Diceros bicornis minor: one gene and its partner. The protein of the gene in region 2 purifies or fractionates together with the protein of the main gene of each other region. This does not show direct contact. Links are inferred from orthologs where the notes say so. Each region holds a gene or a part of one and is shown on either strand. Other genes may lie near its edges.

Region 1 (7,264 bases), on a different chromosome or scaffold from region 2:
TGGGGATGCTACACATGAAGTAGTGGGTGACTCATGCTGTAGAGTCTATAATAACTTTCCATGCCTATGTCATAAGATTCTAATTTGTTCAGGCCTGACAGTACCCAGGAGGATCACATGTAAAAAGGTGTTGATTTTAGACCAGAAAAAGTATGAAAGAGTGAGTAAGACCTCTCAAGAAAATCTTCCTGGAGGAGGTAGAAGTTGAAGAGGATCTTAAACAATTTATATGGGAAGCAGTAGTCTTGACAGAAGGAACAGCACAAGCAAAGGCAGAGAGGTGGCAAAGTCTGCGCCTATCACTATGAAGTCTTCTTCCCCACCCAAGTCTGCATGGGGTCCCAAGAGCTTGTCCTCTTCACTGGCCCACCCAGAACTCCCATCCAAGAAGCAGGTTTCTGGAATATACTTTCCAGTCCATGCCTACTCTTTCCTGGGCAGTTCTTTTTCAGCAAACCCTTGCGGATCCTCAACATCCTTCTGCTGCTGGAGGGTGCCGTCATTGTCTACCAGCTGTACTCCTTAATGTCCTCTGAAAAGTGGCACCAGACCATCTCACTGGCGCTCATCCTCTTCAGCAACTACTATGCCTTCTTCAAGCTGCTGCGGGACCGCCTGGTATTGGGCAAGGCCTACTCGTACTCGGCCAGCCCCCAGAGGGACCTGGACCACCGGTTCTCCTGAGCCCCAGGGCAACCCCAGGGACAGCATCCAGGCTTCAGCCAGGGGCTCCCTGGGAAGGGGCTGTTGGGGAGGGATGGGTGAGGGGCAAAAACAAAAAAAGACAAAAAAATCCACCAGAGCTTTGTATTTTTGTTACATACTGTTTCTTTCTTTGATAATTGATGTGATTATGAGGAAAACAAAAGTCCTATTTTTATACTCCCAATAAGCCTGTGTCCTGTATTTCTTTCCCTTCTTGCCTGTCAGGCAGAAAGCAGATGTGTGGGATTCTGGGTGGGGAAGCCCCGCTGTGGCTCCTGGGGCCCCTGTGGGCTCTGCCTTCTCCAGTGGAAAGGAGATGAGTAGGCACCAGAGGTCATGGTAGCAGTGACAGCTGCTGCTAGCTGAGTGCTCACTGTGTACCGTGCTGCTCTATGTGTATTATAGGCCTTGTCTTAATCCAACTTTCATGATAATCCTAGGAGGTAGGTGCTGTCACTTCTCTTAAAGATGAAGAACGAGCTCAGAGAGCTGTAATGACTTGCCCAAGGTAACACAGCTAGGAGGTAGAGCTGGGCCCCAAAACCTTCTGAAAGGTGACATATTAACCTAGCAGAATGTGATGTCCTGATTCTCTCAGCATGCAGTCACTGAGACCCTGCTCTCTGCTAGGTGCTGTGGTACATGGTGAGGATGCCAAGACACAGAAACAAGTCATACTACACTGGGATGGGTGTAACAGTTACAGGGGAGGGAATGGTTAATGCTCTGTGGACTTCCTGGAGGAGGGGTAGTCTGAGTTGTATCAGCCACTTCCCAGGTGGACAAGAGGGAGACTTGGCAGAGTCTACACTTAAGCAGAGAAAAGCGTACGAGTAATAGCACAGAGATTTGGAACATCGTAATGTATTGGGGGAAGGGAAGCAGAATGTGGTTCCTAGAGCAGAAAGGATAAGGAAAGTGAGGTGGGGGTGGGTTGGAGCTAGAAAGGTCTGCAGGGACTGGATCAGGGAGGACCAATGGCTCTAGGCTAGGGAGAGTGAGTGAGCAAGGCCAAGTGCTAGAGTGGAAATACAAAGCTGCTTGGAGGGCCACCTGGCTCTTAGGGGGCATAGGATGGAGAGCTCAGGAGTAAGAGAAGAGGAGACACAGACAGTCATAGCCACTTGTCTAGTCTGCCCGTGTTCCCCGAGCCCTATTGGCCACAGGATATGCAGATAAGTCCACGGTGGTGTATTAGAGACAGACACTGCAACCAGCGTTTTTGATGCCTCTGTTGAGGAAGGCATTGTGCCAGGTGCTGGCACAGATACAAAGATGAGGAAGATTCTATCCCTTCCATAGACAACCAGCAGAGAGAGACATTGTCATGAGCAAATTAGGGTGCTAAGTGCTGAGGAAAACATGTGTCCAGGGCACTGAGGAGCAGAGAGGACAGACACCCTGACTCTGGAAAGACAGGCTTTTTCAAGGAGGTGAGAGTTGAGTCTTGAAAGTGAGTAGGTCACACCATGGTCAAGAGGAAAGAGAGGGCATTGCATTTCAAGCAGAGGGAACAGCATGTGCAAAGGCACAAGAGAAGATAGGGACATATTTGGGGAAAAGTGGTTCCCCAAATATGGATGGAGCCTGGGTTGCCTGGTGGGGAGCAGCCTAAGAAGCCAGTAAGGACCAGCCCGTGTGTCAGATTGAAATGTTTGTGCATTACCTAAGGGCAGATAGTAGGAAGTTGCTGAGCAAAGGAGTGACATGAAAAGGTCTCTGATTTTAAGGAGATAGTGGGTGCGGGTGGGAGAGCTTGGAGGCAGGAGACCAGTGAGGAGGCAGGCAAAATAGACCAGGAGAGAAAGAAGAGGTCTGACCTTGAGCAGTGGCAGTAGGAATGATACCAAACCAAGTGGGCTCGCCTCCTGGTGAGTTAAATAAGACTCTACACCAGTGGAAGTTGTCTCACAAAGTAAAGTGTATTTGCAACAAATACTAGGCCATGAGGAATCATTTCCCAAGTTGTGGTGTCCCCGAACAAAGGGAAGCAGGAACTTTTATTTCGGTTGGGGAATGAATATTCAAAAGGGAGAGGTGGGTTATGCACTGCAGATTATGGTAATGAGGCTTAATCTCCGCTTGCAGAGATCGCATTAAAAATCAGGCAAGGTCATGGGCATAGCTCTTGTAAAGAGGCTTGGTTGCTTCAGAGTGGTTGCTGGTTTTGTCTCCTTAACATAAAAACACAACTTGGAAAAACAGTTAAATGCTTCCAAACCCACCCTTGAGTTCCTTGGGGCACTAGTCAGTGACAGGAAGAGAAAGGTAGTGCTCCCTTTCCTGACCATGAGTTCTAGAGTGGGGTTTTTGAGTTGTTTCCCTAAATGAGCCCACCAGGCACACAACTAGAGTTGGCAATTTGTTGTGACAGGACCTGGAAGCCCACATTGCTCTTTCTGCTTCCAAAAGGCATCTCCCTCTGGGACCAGTGACTTGAAGACATAGGCTTCCTCTGTGTGTTGAGGTGGAGGACAGGAGGACGGGCATGTCACTATGCAAAAAGGGAGGCCTACTATGTACCAGCCATAAATTCCATGATTCAAAAGGCACATGAACACTCAGAGCCTCAATTTCCTCATCTCTAAAAAGGGAGATCATATCCCTTGCTTTGTGTAACTTACAGGCTGTTCATTTGTTTATTCATTCAACAATTATTTATGGAGCACATACCATGTGCCAGATACTGTGCTAGGTGCTGGAGATACAGTGATGAACAACACAGGACCCACCCTTGCCTTCAGAGAGCTTACTGTAAGGACAAATGAAATAGCTCTGTTGACTATAAAGCACTGCACCTGTCTCATTCTTTTTCTACTTCTTATCTCCCAATAGGGTTGTAATCGGGTTTACTCTTGACTTCATTTCCCTACCTCTATATCCTTGAGCAAGTCACTTCCCCTCTCCAGATGATTCCTTTTTCATATCCAGCTCAAGGGTCTATGATTGGCTTTAATTACGAAAGGAAGGAATATCTTTCTGGGAGAAAAAGTTTCTAGGGGAGGAAATCTCACTATAAAGAGGAAATAGTAGCAGAAAAACCTGGGAACTCCCAGGCACGCTGAACTTTCTTTAGTAGGCATCCCTCCCAGTCTCTCTCCGCCCACTCCTTTCATATTCCGCCCCTATTCCCCGCCTTTAATAGCTGCGGTCTCTTTAAGTGTGCGCCTTGGTGTGAACTAGGCTGCAGGGCTGAAAGCGCGTTTCTTCGCTGGACTGAATATTGAGTTGTTTGTCCGTTTCGGGCTGCCGTCCTGCAGATCCGCCATATTGTCTGCTGAAGCTGCAGCTGAAGCTCGCCGCTCCCGTCGCCGCCGCCGCCGCCGCCGCCAAGTAGGAGCGAGCGGAGCCGCGATGGGTGAGTAAGGAAACCAGGCGATTGGGGACTCGAGCTGAGGCAGTCTCGGGGTTAGGGGTCTGGCGAGAGCCTGTCTCCGGTCTGCAGAGGATATCCGAGGCCCTTTCAAGTAGGTTTGAGGGGAGAAGCCAGGCCGGGAGTGCCGCTCAGGCCAGTTTGGGGCCGGGCTAGGGCCCATGCGGAGATCAGTCTTCGGGGGCTGGTTCTGGGGACACCTTGTCAAGCCTGGAGCCCCCACGTGGTGGCTCTAGGCCGGAGCCTACGCGTTCCCGGAGGCTAGAAAGGTGCCGACCCTCCGGCCTGCGCCGAGACTGGGGCTGGGGGACGGGCTCCCGGCGGCAGGCCCAGCCGGTGCTAAGGGAGCTCTCTCCAGGCGTGTGTTTGACCGACGCGCATCTTGACTGGATTCGGTGACTCCCCTGAACTCAGGGAAATGTTGCCTACGTCGCGGGTTGAGTCCTCCGTTGAGGAGACGCCAGGCGAGCCAACTCCAGGCCCGTAACCAGGGGCAGCCATGCCAAAGGCAGCCTGGGCCGTTCAAGGCCGGGAGAAGTTCCCGAGCCGAGGCGGAAATGGGGTGGTTCGGTTGGTCTCAGAGTGGACAGCCTTCGTAGTGGTAGAAAACCAAAGGCCGAGACTTCGTGGCCATATATAGGTCGGGGACTTCGGTTTCTGCGCCCGGCCCTGGTTAGGAGAAAAGGAGCGACCTGTTGCTCGTTCTGAAGGGACTCCAGCTGGCAAGGCCTGTGCTTAGAATACGATGGCCAAGTTTTTGGACTTAGGGACAGAACTGTCAGTGGTATTTCCTCTCCAGCAATAAAAACTATTAAATTTGCTAAGCTCTTCCTATGTGCAGGCATTGTTCTGACTGCTTTACATGTCACGTTTCACTTAAAGTGCACAGCCTAATGAGATACATACTACTGTTACCCCTATTTTACAGATGGGAAAACTGAGCCTTAGAGAGGCAAAGTAACTTACCCAAGGTCACACAGTGGCTAAACCAGAGTGATCACTCCAGAACCCTAGTTTATAGCTGCTGTTCTTTATGGCCTGGCCCCCTGGTGGTTGGGGTGGAAGAGGGGGGAAGAAAGCTTTTAACCCTAGGGAAAGTTGTAAAGGTGGTTTGCTGTGTTGTTTTTTTTGCTGGTGGGCCGACTTTGAAATCTTTAGTCTGAAGGAAACTGAAAAAACTCCAAAGTGAATTGCTAACCCCAGCTACTGCGTGGGGCGGGGGGGGGGGGGCGGCTAAATGAGATTCTAGGATTGAGTTTTGTAAGATTCCTGATTCTGAGGAAAGAAAAATTATTCCCTTGAGCTGCAATGCAGTGACTTCAGAATCAGATCTGGTATTTTAATCCTGCCTGCCACTTCCTAGCTCTCATCCAGAGAAGTCACTTAAATGTCAAATGCAGTAATGCATAAGGAAAGCATCTAGCACAGTCCACAATAAATGTTATGTTCCTTCCTTTCTGAGCCTTCCTTTCCTCATCTCTAGAAAGAGGGGAGGGGGCAGTGTTATCAAGGTGTTTGAGAACTAAATAACATAACACAAGCGTTTGGAGTCTAGTAAGGGCTCTATAAATATCAGAACAGATTCCTTTCCACCCTCAATGTTAGTTCCTTTCCCTTAAGCACTCTGGTTTCCAGAATCCTCCATTAAGACTGATAGGCCTGTCTTTATAACTGCAGCTTTATGTATCAATGAAAAATTTTAGGGGTTTTTATGTTATAGATTTTTGTGTTGGCCTTCAATTTCAGAAACCCTGGTGTCTCAAAGGGAAGTGGCTAATGTTTAGTTTATTAAGCTCAGTGAAATAAATTTGGTAGTGGTTTACTCAATTTTTATAGACTGGGGAACTACCTGAGAGAAGATAACACAGCTAGTAATCAGCAAAGCCAGAAGTGAGATTCTTACCCATTTTGCTGCCCGTAAACCTCTTACAAGACATAAGGTGTGAAGTAAAGTTAGTCCTTTTTTAGTAGACTTGGAAATGAAAGTTCTTCACTGGAGCAGCAAAATCTGACCAGAGGCCCGAAGGAGATTTTTAGTCTAGAGTCAGGCAGCCTCTCCTTTTCTCTCCAACTCCATTTCAGGTACCTCTCACCTGTGCCACTTTGTCTTTTTGAACATCCAGCTATTGGTGTGTGTTTGGAGTTTTTTGTTTTTGGCTGATTCTTATACCATGGGAGTGAAACTAGTGTAAGGATACATTTAATCCTGACGTCAAATCTGAGATAGTTTGGGTTATCCTCATTTATAAATGAGTAAACTGAGGCTTTCAGAAGATTAGGTGACTAGTCCAAGGCTGGTGATCTAAGCCCTTTGAGTGCTGGGGACACTAACAGGGCCTGCGTCACATTTCCATGAATCTAGAACCTGCTGTATTTCACTGCCTCTCAGGTATACTCTCCTTGAGCTCTGGCCTATATCCTATACTATTTCTCACTAGCCTTAAGAGACCTTTGTAGTGATTTCACTGCCATTAGGAGCCCTGTAGGCTTCATGCAGCTCTGGAAGTTACTTATTCTGACCCTTCCTATCAGAGACCACAGCCTCTCAAGACTAAGTCTTGGCAGATGCTGGTTGTTTTATCACCATTTCTGCCGTGTTGCTTCCCAGGAATCTGGCATCCCCTCCCCAGCCTCAGAGGGTGGGTCTTGATTAATATAAACTCTAAACCAGTCATTGTAATTCTATCTCCCTAGGCAGTGATTGCTTTAGGCATGGGCATGTGACGCAGTTCTGGCTAATTAGATGTGGAGAAAAGCCTAGGGGACTTCTGGAAAAGCCTTCCTCATTTCAAAGAGATTTGCCTGGTTTTATTATTTTTTGCCAGCTTATATTTTAACCCACGTATCACCAAAGTGTGAGAGCCTCAAAAAAAGACAGAGAGATGGGAAAGCTATAATGATAGCCAACACTTATATAGAACTCGCTATATGCTAGACACTAAGTTCTATAATATTAACTCATTTAATTCTCAGATTCTCATGTTCTACTTGAGGAAACTGAAGCACAGAGAGGTTTAGTAACTTTTGCAAGGAAAAGAGCTAGTAGAAGAACCACTTACTCAAGTAGTATGGTTCTAACCAAAATAGGGGCTATTAAGGTCTATATTCTGCCTCTGGAAAGGAAAGAGCCCTTTTCTGACTCTGAAATTGCCATTAGCAATGCTGGGATCATGAGGCAGAATTTAT
Region 2 (8,278 bases):
ACAGGGACTTTGGGGGACCTTCTGTGTTTGTATTCAATTCTCCTAATGGTTCCTAATTTACCTTAAAAATCCAAATAGGAATATTATTTGTATTCTCTTTTTTTCATTTCTCTAGGTAAACTTGAGGCTAATAATATGATTTTTTTTCTCCTTTAGGCCTTCATTAACACAGCCAAAGAAATATATAGGAAGATCCAGCAGGGTTTATTTGATGTCCACAATGAGGTGAGAAAGGGTGAGGGGCTGACAATTAACTTTGCTTTGTCTTAAACAGGACAGGAAGCTCCCTAGAATATAATTATTCCCTAACATTGTACTATTTGAAGCTATGCCAATTCATACTTGGTTTTTTTATGTAGGTACACAGGAACCCGTCATCATTTTCTGTTTTTCTCTCAAGTCTGAGACCTAGAATGCTTAAAGAAATTAGTTGGTGATCTAAAACGCATATACAGTATGGGAGGTTTTCTTCTCAACCTCAATTTTTACTATTGCAGGGCATGGGGGAGGTGTAATTCTTAAGTGCTCAGCAGGGCCATTTCTATAAAGCAAATTCTGGGGCAAAACAAAAAAGAATTATATGCTAATAAGCTACTTCTACTCTACATAGCTGTGAAACTTAAGTATTAACAGTCACCTTAAAAATGGGTACAAAATACACTTCTATGCATCTGTAATACTTATACCACAGCTGGTCATTTCATCCTTACTGTCACAGATTATTGTTCCACAACAGTCTGGCTAGGGCCCATGGTTACCTGCCAAGGTCGTATTTGCTTTTAGAAAATAGAATTAATGATTTCTCCTTTTATCCTGCTCCTTTCTCCCATTTATTTTAGCGCTGAGGTGGGAACTATTGCCTCTTTTCTTTTACAGGCAAACGGCATCAAGATTGGTCCCCAACAGTGTATTTCAACATCAGTGGGACCCAGCGCCTCCCAGCGGAACTCTCGTGACGTAGGGTCCAACTCTGGCTGCTGCTGAACATCTGGCCTGGACTCTGTTTTTCCTTCCCGGAACAGCTTCAGATCAATAGGCTTAAAGAAAGAGGTCTTACTTGCTTTGGCTGAGAAAGCCTCTTTTCAAGGTGTGATGTTTTGCCTTTCCACTTAAAGACCAGGGGAGAATTTGGGCCCTTACTGACCTGTCCTTCTTCAGGGACGTGAGCATTCCCTATAGATTAGGGCTCTTCTCATCCTCCTATTTTAATTTCTAAAGTGTTAGAATCAAAGTTGATTGTCATGGTACTTCAAAATAAATAAATCCTTTTATAAGCATACACAATCTGCTCCCCACCAAGAATTAGTAACAAGGGTCTAGGACATTCTGCTTGAGCACTTGAGATTCCTGGGATCTGGCTGGCCTTTGGATGATAGATCCTCTGCCTAGGAATTTCATTGAGGTTTTTCACTTGCCACTTCTTAAGGGTTCTTGCAGAAGGCAGTTCCTCCTACTTGAACTGCTCAAGGATGCTGAATACTTCTTTACCATCCCATTGCTAGTTTCTCTGTCTTAGAGTAACTACAAAACTTTTGAGAGCAGTGGAATTGCTCCTGGACCTGTGGCCACTTATCATCATTACCTAAAGAAAACATTCCTTCCCTGTTCGTTTTGTTCTAGGGACCAGACCTAACATTGCAGTATCTTTCACCAAAAAGACCCCTACTGTTTCATCACACTCACTTCTTAACTAGACCTATTTAGACTTTCTACTCTAATCAAGCTAATCTGCTTACTGGACATGACATATTTACTTCCACTTCTATGCCTTTGCACATGCCCCACTCTCTGCTAACAATACTCAGAAAGTCCGAAATTTTTTCCTTCAGAAAGCCGTCTTTGACTGACCTAGGGACATCTAAACAATTATTGACCCAGTACTCCTTAGCTTTCATATGTTGTTTATTCATATGTATATTTATTTGTATTTATATTACTTTGTAAATATGTTTTGTAGTTGTTCTGTGGACTTCTGTCTCCCCATATAGGTTGTAAGCTCCTTGAGAGCAGGAACCATGTTATCCTTTAGCTTCTGTAAACTACTTCCTCCACCATTCCTTTACAGTGCCTAGTGCTACTCATTATGTGTTCACTGAATTTGACTGACGTACTTAAAGACTTAGAACAGGTTTATTTTAGACTGCAGAGGAAACACAAGGCCTTAGAGTCTTCTCTTTGTAACCTCCATCTCTTTCATCTGCTTACCTTGGATTCTTAATTGCTCTTCTCCTGCTCTTCTTTCCCTTCCCTGGCTCTTTGCCTCCATTCCATGCACCATACAGTAAGGCTGCCTGCTTCCAAGCAGTCAAAAAAGTAGGTACTTGTCTAGCCATTTTCCTTTTCAAGAGCTTATAATACTATCCTAGCCAAATTTGCCTTTGCTTTACTCATCATGCAGCCTTCTCAGTCAGTTGCTATATCTTTTTGCCTTGATGTCCTATTCTCTTCCACAGCACTGAGGTCTCATGAATTTTTCTAATTTTTTTTGTTGTTGATGAATTGTTTCATTATTAAATATATGCATGTATCCAAGCTGCTCATATTTCATGTGTCATTTCTAATTGTATCCCAAACGTAAGTAGATACTGTCCTTCTAGGAAATTGTATCAAAGGTAATGGAAGCAGCCTTCTTGAGACATTTATTTTATACTGGATTCTGCCCCCAGTAGTAGTAGTAATAGTTAACACTGCACCACAGGAAGTTGAAAGACATTTGGGGTATTGCTTTGATTATGCTTTTGTTTTGTTTTTTAAAATCCGACCTCATTCCAAAAAGGATTTGAGGCTGTTGAATCTGGGGTTAGCCTGCTCCCTTACTCCAGGGACAAAACTAAAGTAAATATAACTTTATATTTTCTGTACAGGAGATTTTCTTTACCAACCAAAACGATCTTTAGTGACTGGGAGGCATTAGAGCATTGGTCAAAGACAGCATTCTGCCTAGAGCTCCTGCTTTGAGAGACATTAATGGATACCATTTTGATATTCTGGAGCATATCTTTTTAATCCTAAATCCCACATCCAGTTTTAGTATCCAAACCACTCATAACCTTCTGTACTTGGGTATTTCACCAATTGTAAGGGAAGCACAAGAAACACAAGTATCTGGGCAAATTTGTGAACTGTTGATCATTGCTGATGTTCTGAGTGAAATGGTCATGAAGAATTACCATAGAAAGTGGATCTCCCACCGCCATGTAAAGAATGGTAGTTATGAGATGATTAAGGGTGTTGATTGGTTTTTGAAGGCCAGAACCATTGGAAATCATACTATTGACAGCAGTCTAAGTCATACTAAATGATTATAGATCATTGCAGGTAGCAGAAATTATTAGACAAGGCACACTCTTTCCCCTTTCTATAATGCCTGTAACTGGTTCCTTTGATATCAGGTTTATTTTGTACCAAATAAGCAGAAGGATAATAGGTTCTCATTCTAGAAAGTATTAATAATTAAGATCATATCTGTACATGCATTTACAGACAAACACATTGTTCTGGTAAATCCTAATCCTAACCTCAAATTTGATATAATGACAGCAGTAGCCAGTAGACAGGGGAGAATTTGGCCAACAGATTTTGTTCAATATACAGGGAAATATATTTGGCCAAGGCTTATGACTGCCCTGATAAAATATTAACTCACATGACTCCTTAAGGTCTCTGGGCTCCCACCACGTATGACAATGCAAATATGTTATTCCTTGAGAAATTCCTTTAATTGGGAGGACTCCCTTCACTCACGAGTTAAAAAATCAAAAACTTTGGGGCTTGCTAGGTGGCGTAGTGATTAAGGCCACACCCTCTGCTTCTGCGGCCTGGGGTTCGTGGGTTCGGATCCCAGGCACTGACCTACACAATGCTCATCAAGCCACCCTGTGGCGGCATCCCATGTAAAAAATAGAGGAAGATTGGCACAGATGTTAGCTCAGGGACAATCTTCCTCAAGCAAAAAGAGGAAGATTGGCAACAGCTGTTAGCTCAGGGCCACTCTTCCTCACCAGAAAACCAAAACCTTCTTGTAGCAAGTTGTAATAGCAGTAGAGATTTAGACTAGGAAACACCTGAAAAATCTTTCTCATTGAGTGCAAGAGAATTTCACATACGATAAAATTATTTCCTTTCCAATTTAAATGCAGTTATTAGAAAATTAGTCTCTGCAGCCAATGTTTCCAAGGTTGTCCCCTAAGGGCCCTCCTCCTTACATATAATTTCTCCTCTATCATTTACCTATATTCACACGTAGTTTGAGTCTATTGATGAATTTAGGCCTTTTTGAAAAAAACTGAAATTCTTCCCTTAATCCTATTCATTTCCCATTGACTCACAGCCCTCTGTACCGTCAGTCAGAACACTGGAAAACTTGCAAATGAAGCATATGGATTAGAAACATCTACAATAGATACATAACCTTATGTTGGTCATGTGCTGATATCCTGAGGAGTGAGGTGTCTATAAAGGATTATCCCAGGAACTGGGAAAACTCACTCTCGTTCCAAGAATTCATTTTTGCTTCTTTGATTTGGTAAGATCGCTTCACTCCTATGAGGGGGGGGGGGTGGTTGCCTCTAGCTATATTCAACATTATTCCAGTTTCTCCCCATGGCGACTGAGGGACATTCTGATTATATAAACGAGAGTATGTTAGGGCTGGAGCTAAGAAGTCCTACAGAACGCCGAAAAGGGCTTCAAATTCTTTAAGCACTCCTTCCTCCTCCCAGTCCCCAAGTCACGCACCAGCCGGGTCCAAGATGGCTTCCCAGAAACAGGTACCTAAATGTTGTTTTAGTTTAGAGCGCCCCCAACGGCGGGGGTCAAAAAATATGCTGTGAGGCCTGAACGCCTGTAAACTGGGCCATCAGAAGCGAGCTGCCGCCAGATTTTATTTTCAATCAGGCATTATCTGTGGTTGCCTACGTACCCTTCTCAGCCTTTTAGGACCTCCCACCCACAAGAGACTTCCTGAATGACACTCACACTACCCTGCTGGAAGAGGCCGGGCATCGGCCCTGCCATTGGTGGGTCGGAGCGTAGGTGGGCGGAGCCGAAGGAGAATGGACTACTAGCAAGCCAGGTTGAGAGGAGGGCTGGCCATGCTCCGCCGGAAGGCGCCTTGTTCTCCGAAAGGGTGAGTTGAAACGCTCGCTGGCTGGAAAGGAAGCCCCAGGACTTATTCAGGTAGGATTCCCGCTCACACCCGCTGCTCAGTGCTGGTCCAAGAGTGCTTGCAAAAGCTAAAGCTCTTAGAATTGGTTTCAATAACTCATCCTCCTCCTCGCTCCCCCGCCCCCTGCCCGTCCCCCGGTTGTGAGGGATCAGGTGCTGGGTGATGCTCTGGACTGAACCATTCTCCTTTGTGAGAGGCCGGGGGAGAGGGCGGCTGCCGGGCCACAGGGCCCGAGCCCGGACGGGCCGCACGGGGGGCTGCGCCGGCCGCTGTGGAGTTTTTAGGGCTTGTCATTGCCTACCGGGCGTGGTGTAGATTTGAGGCAGCTTCTGGTTCTCCTTGCGCCTTCAGAGGAGGGAAAACTCCCCGGCTCCGTTTGGTTACTCCATACTTGGACTCAGAAGTGGGAGGTTAGGGGGGTTTTCTTTTTTCTTTTTCATTTTTGCTTAGTTTTTGTATTCTAATAATAAAGGTGGGTAGGAACGCTTGGGATGCGCGTGTGCAGATTAATATACCTTCTTAGGTGTAATTTCTGTGGGTCTTTGGGAGAGAAGAGCAGGGTATTGGCGAGTGTTTAGAGATGGTGGGAAGAGAGGAGCTCAAGCTTTGCACCTGCATTGACAGGTCTGCAGAGCTCACTGGTTTTCTGTTGCATTATGTAAACTCTTCCCTGGGAGAAGACCCCTCCCCCTGCCTAGGAGCGAATGCAATTTCTTTATTTACCTGTCCCTAGTGTCGCAGGAAATTTCCCTGCTATTGCAGCTGCTGGACAAATGCAGCAGCTCCTACCTTTTAAGGGGCAGTCCTGAAGTGATTAAGGGTTTCAAAGACGTGTTTAGTGGAGGTGTAGAGGAGTGTAGCTGTTTAGTGGACCAATCTCTTTTCAATGACTGAGCATAGTGAGCCAGAAGTCAAAGACTTAGAACTCGATGTCTTTTTCTTTTTAAAGAGTAGACATGGTGGAACGCCCCAAACACAAGCCAGAGGAGCTGCATTATCGGTGTCTACTGCATCCTGCCATCACACCAGCGTCCAAAGATTATTTGCTCTTCATGTTGTTCTGAGCCTGTCATTTCAGTCAGGGATTCTCTGACTGGGTTATCTTTAGCATCAGCTGAGGTCCTGTCTGTGTGGGGCACTTTAGATACTAGAAAGTGAGTTTGTGATTTGAATACTAATGTCCTCTGTTAGTTAATTAGATACTGTCTTCTACTTAGGAATTTGTTTTGTATTGGTCGCCAAATAGGTTTAGGTTTCAGAACAAATTGTGGTCAGCCTCTTAGGGCCAGAAGGTGGGAAGCTTCTCATTGCAAGTATTTTGGAATTATCCCACCCCTTAAAAGAAGAGTTATGATAAGGAAAACAACATTGTCCATCTAAGAAGACCTGGGTTGCAAGAGTGGCATGCCAGTGGGTCTGCAAGGCAAGATGAAGGGCATTGGCCAAAGAGAGAGTAGGTATGTGTGTGAAGAGACAGGCTTGGGGGAAGGTTTAAAACTGATGAAGCAAAGGAGTAATGCACTAGGATAAGGGATTTGATGGAGCAATGTATGTGTACTTGCACAGTTCACACTTTCCCCAGGTTTGATCTGTCTTGTGCATCTGGCCTTTTGATTTTCTCAGTTCCCAAATTGACAAAATCCATTTAGACATGGATAGAATATGATAGAAATATATAGAAATCTGCTGAGCTGGTTGGGAATCACCAGGAAACACACATCTTGTATTTCCTGGGACAGCCTTATCTGCAGCATAACTGGGTGATGGAGTGGAAGAATCTTGGCATTGTAGTAACCACTACTGCAGAGCTTCAGTTGAAACAGGAAAAATTTGATGTTTTATGTGAAGAAGGGTCGAGTTTCTGACAGGTAATGTAGGATGGTGAGGGGATCATTTTTTGAAAGAAACCGTGTACACGTTTTTCTAAGCAAAAGTACCATTTAAGATTAATTTCTGGGTGCCAAGAAATGTGCTTGCTTACTGAAAGAATGAGATTTGATATTCTCATCTGTGGAAAGACTGTAACATTTTCAGAGCATTCGCATGAGTGTTAAATGCTTTCAAGTTACTGTTTGTCCACAGCCCTGTAAGAGTTAAGCTATCTTCTAAGCTTACATTGAGCCTAATACCTGGGGGGTGAACAGAAGACAAATATGTTTCTGGGCTCTCAACCCTCACCCCTAGAAGTCCCTCAGCTGCTGGACTTGCCTTTGAGCAAGTCCCTGATCTACAGGTCTTGCATGACCTACCCTACACTACTGTGACTAACCTAGTCTTTACCATTTTACCTTTAGCATTTGATTCATTGATAGACTATCATTTCATATCTTACTCAGTTTAACTTTGTATATCTCCTCTTTAATTAGTTTTGTATCCTTTTCTTCACAAAGTTGGTGGTCTTCCTTTCATCCTCCTGTTAGGATTTGTTCACTTTGCTTTTTATGTTAATTCACTGACGTTGTGCCTTTTTGCTTCTGTCTTGGCTGAGGCCTTTTAAGGAATGTAAAGAGACCCTGATTTTCAAGACGTGGTTTCTTTGGTACCTAGTACCCGAGTGATAGTTGTGTTTGTATATAACAGAGCTGTTGTATGAACCGTTTACTATTGCCTAAAAGTTTATTTAACTATTTATTACATTCTAAATTTTATCTTGGATAATCTTTCCACTCCTTAACCTCTCAGTATTGTCTTGTGTATGCAAGTGTATGAAGTTGCAATTTAGCTTTTTTTTGTGTGTTTTCTAATTCTTTCGTATTGCCTTTAAGATTTTCATTGTATTTGTATTGCAAAATAAATCCACCTCTTTGTAGTCACTAGATGTTTTAAATTTAAACTACAAAGTATATTAGTCTCTGAGATTTCTCATCAATCTGTTCTTTAGGTAACATTTTTTGTTTTTTGCCCTTTTACTGTCCATTAAAGGGCTCTTGGTTGTTTAATGTCACAAAATGGTCAACTTTAAAATATCTTAATTCTTGCCTTCAGATTGCAGCAGGAGACTTTTAAAAATAAAACACTTAGGGGACCGCCCATTGGCGTAGTGGTTAAGTTCATGCGCTCTGCTTCGGCAGCCTGGGGTTCGCAGGTTCGGATCCCGGGTGCGGACCTACA

Evidence for each region.
Region 1: the proteins of CHD8 (region 2) and KPNA6 purify together in Homo sapiens (affinity purification with mass spectrometry; 4 studies listed by BioGRID and IntAct, with this or other methods). This does not show direct contact. The link is inferred for Diceros bicornis minor from reciprocal best matches to the Homo sapiens genes CHD8 and KPNA6.

Annotation. Positions count from the first base shown.
Region 1 is NC_080752.1:46,919,352-46,926,615, forward strand, and holds the start of KPNA6 (importin subunit alpha-7), read left to right. Parts: upstream 1-3,919; 5' UTR 3,920-4,059; coding exon 4,060-4,063; intron 4,064-4,103; exon of another isoform or gene 4,104-4,172; intron 4,173-7,264. Other genes in the region: TMEM39B (transmembrane protein 39B), read left to right, coding at 442-684. UniProt on the Homo sapiens protein: Functions in nuclear protein import as an adapter protein for nuclear receptor KPNB1. Binds specifically and directly to substrates containing either a simple or bipartite NLS motif.
Region 2 is NC_080744.1:27,896,111-27,904,388, forward strand, and holds the start of CHD8 (chromodomain-helicase-DNA-binding protein 8), read left to right. Parts: upstream 1-5,106; 5' UTR 5,107-5,178; intron 5,179-6,334; exon of another isoform or gene 6,335-6,620; intron 6,621-8,278. Other genes in the region: RAB2B (ras-related protein Rab-2B), read left to right, coding at 157-225, 877-984. UniProt on the Homo sapiens protein: ATP-dependent chromatin-remodeling factor, it slides nucleosomes along DNA; nucleosome sliding requires ATP. Acts as a transcription repressor by remodeling chromatin structure and recruiting histone H1 to target genes.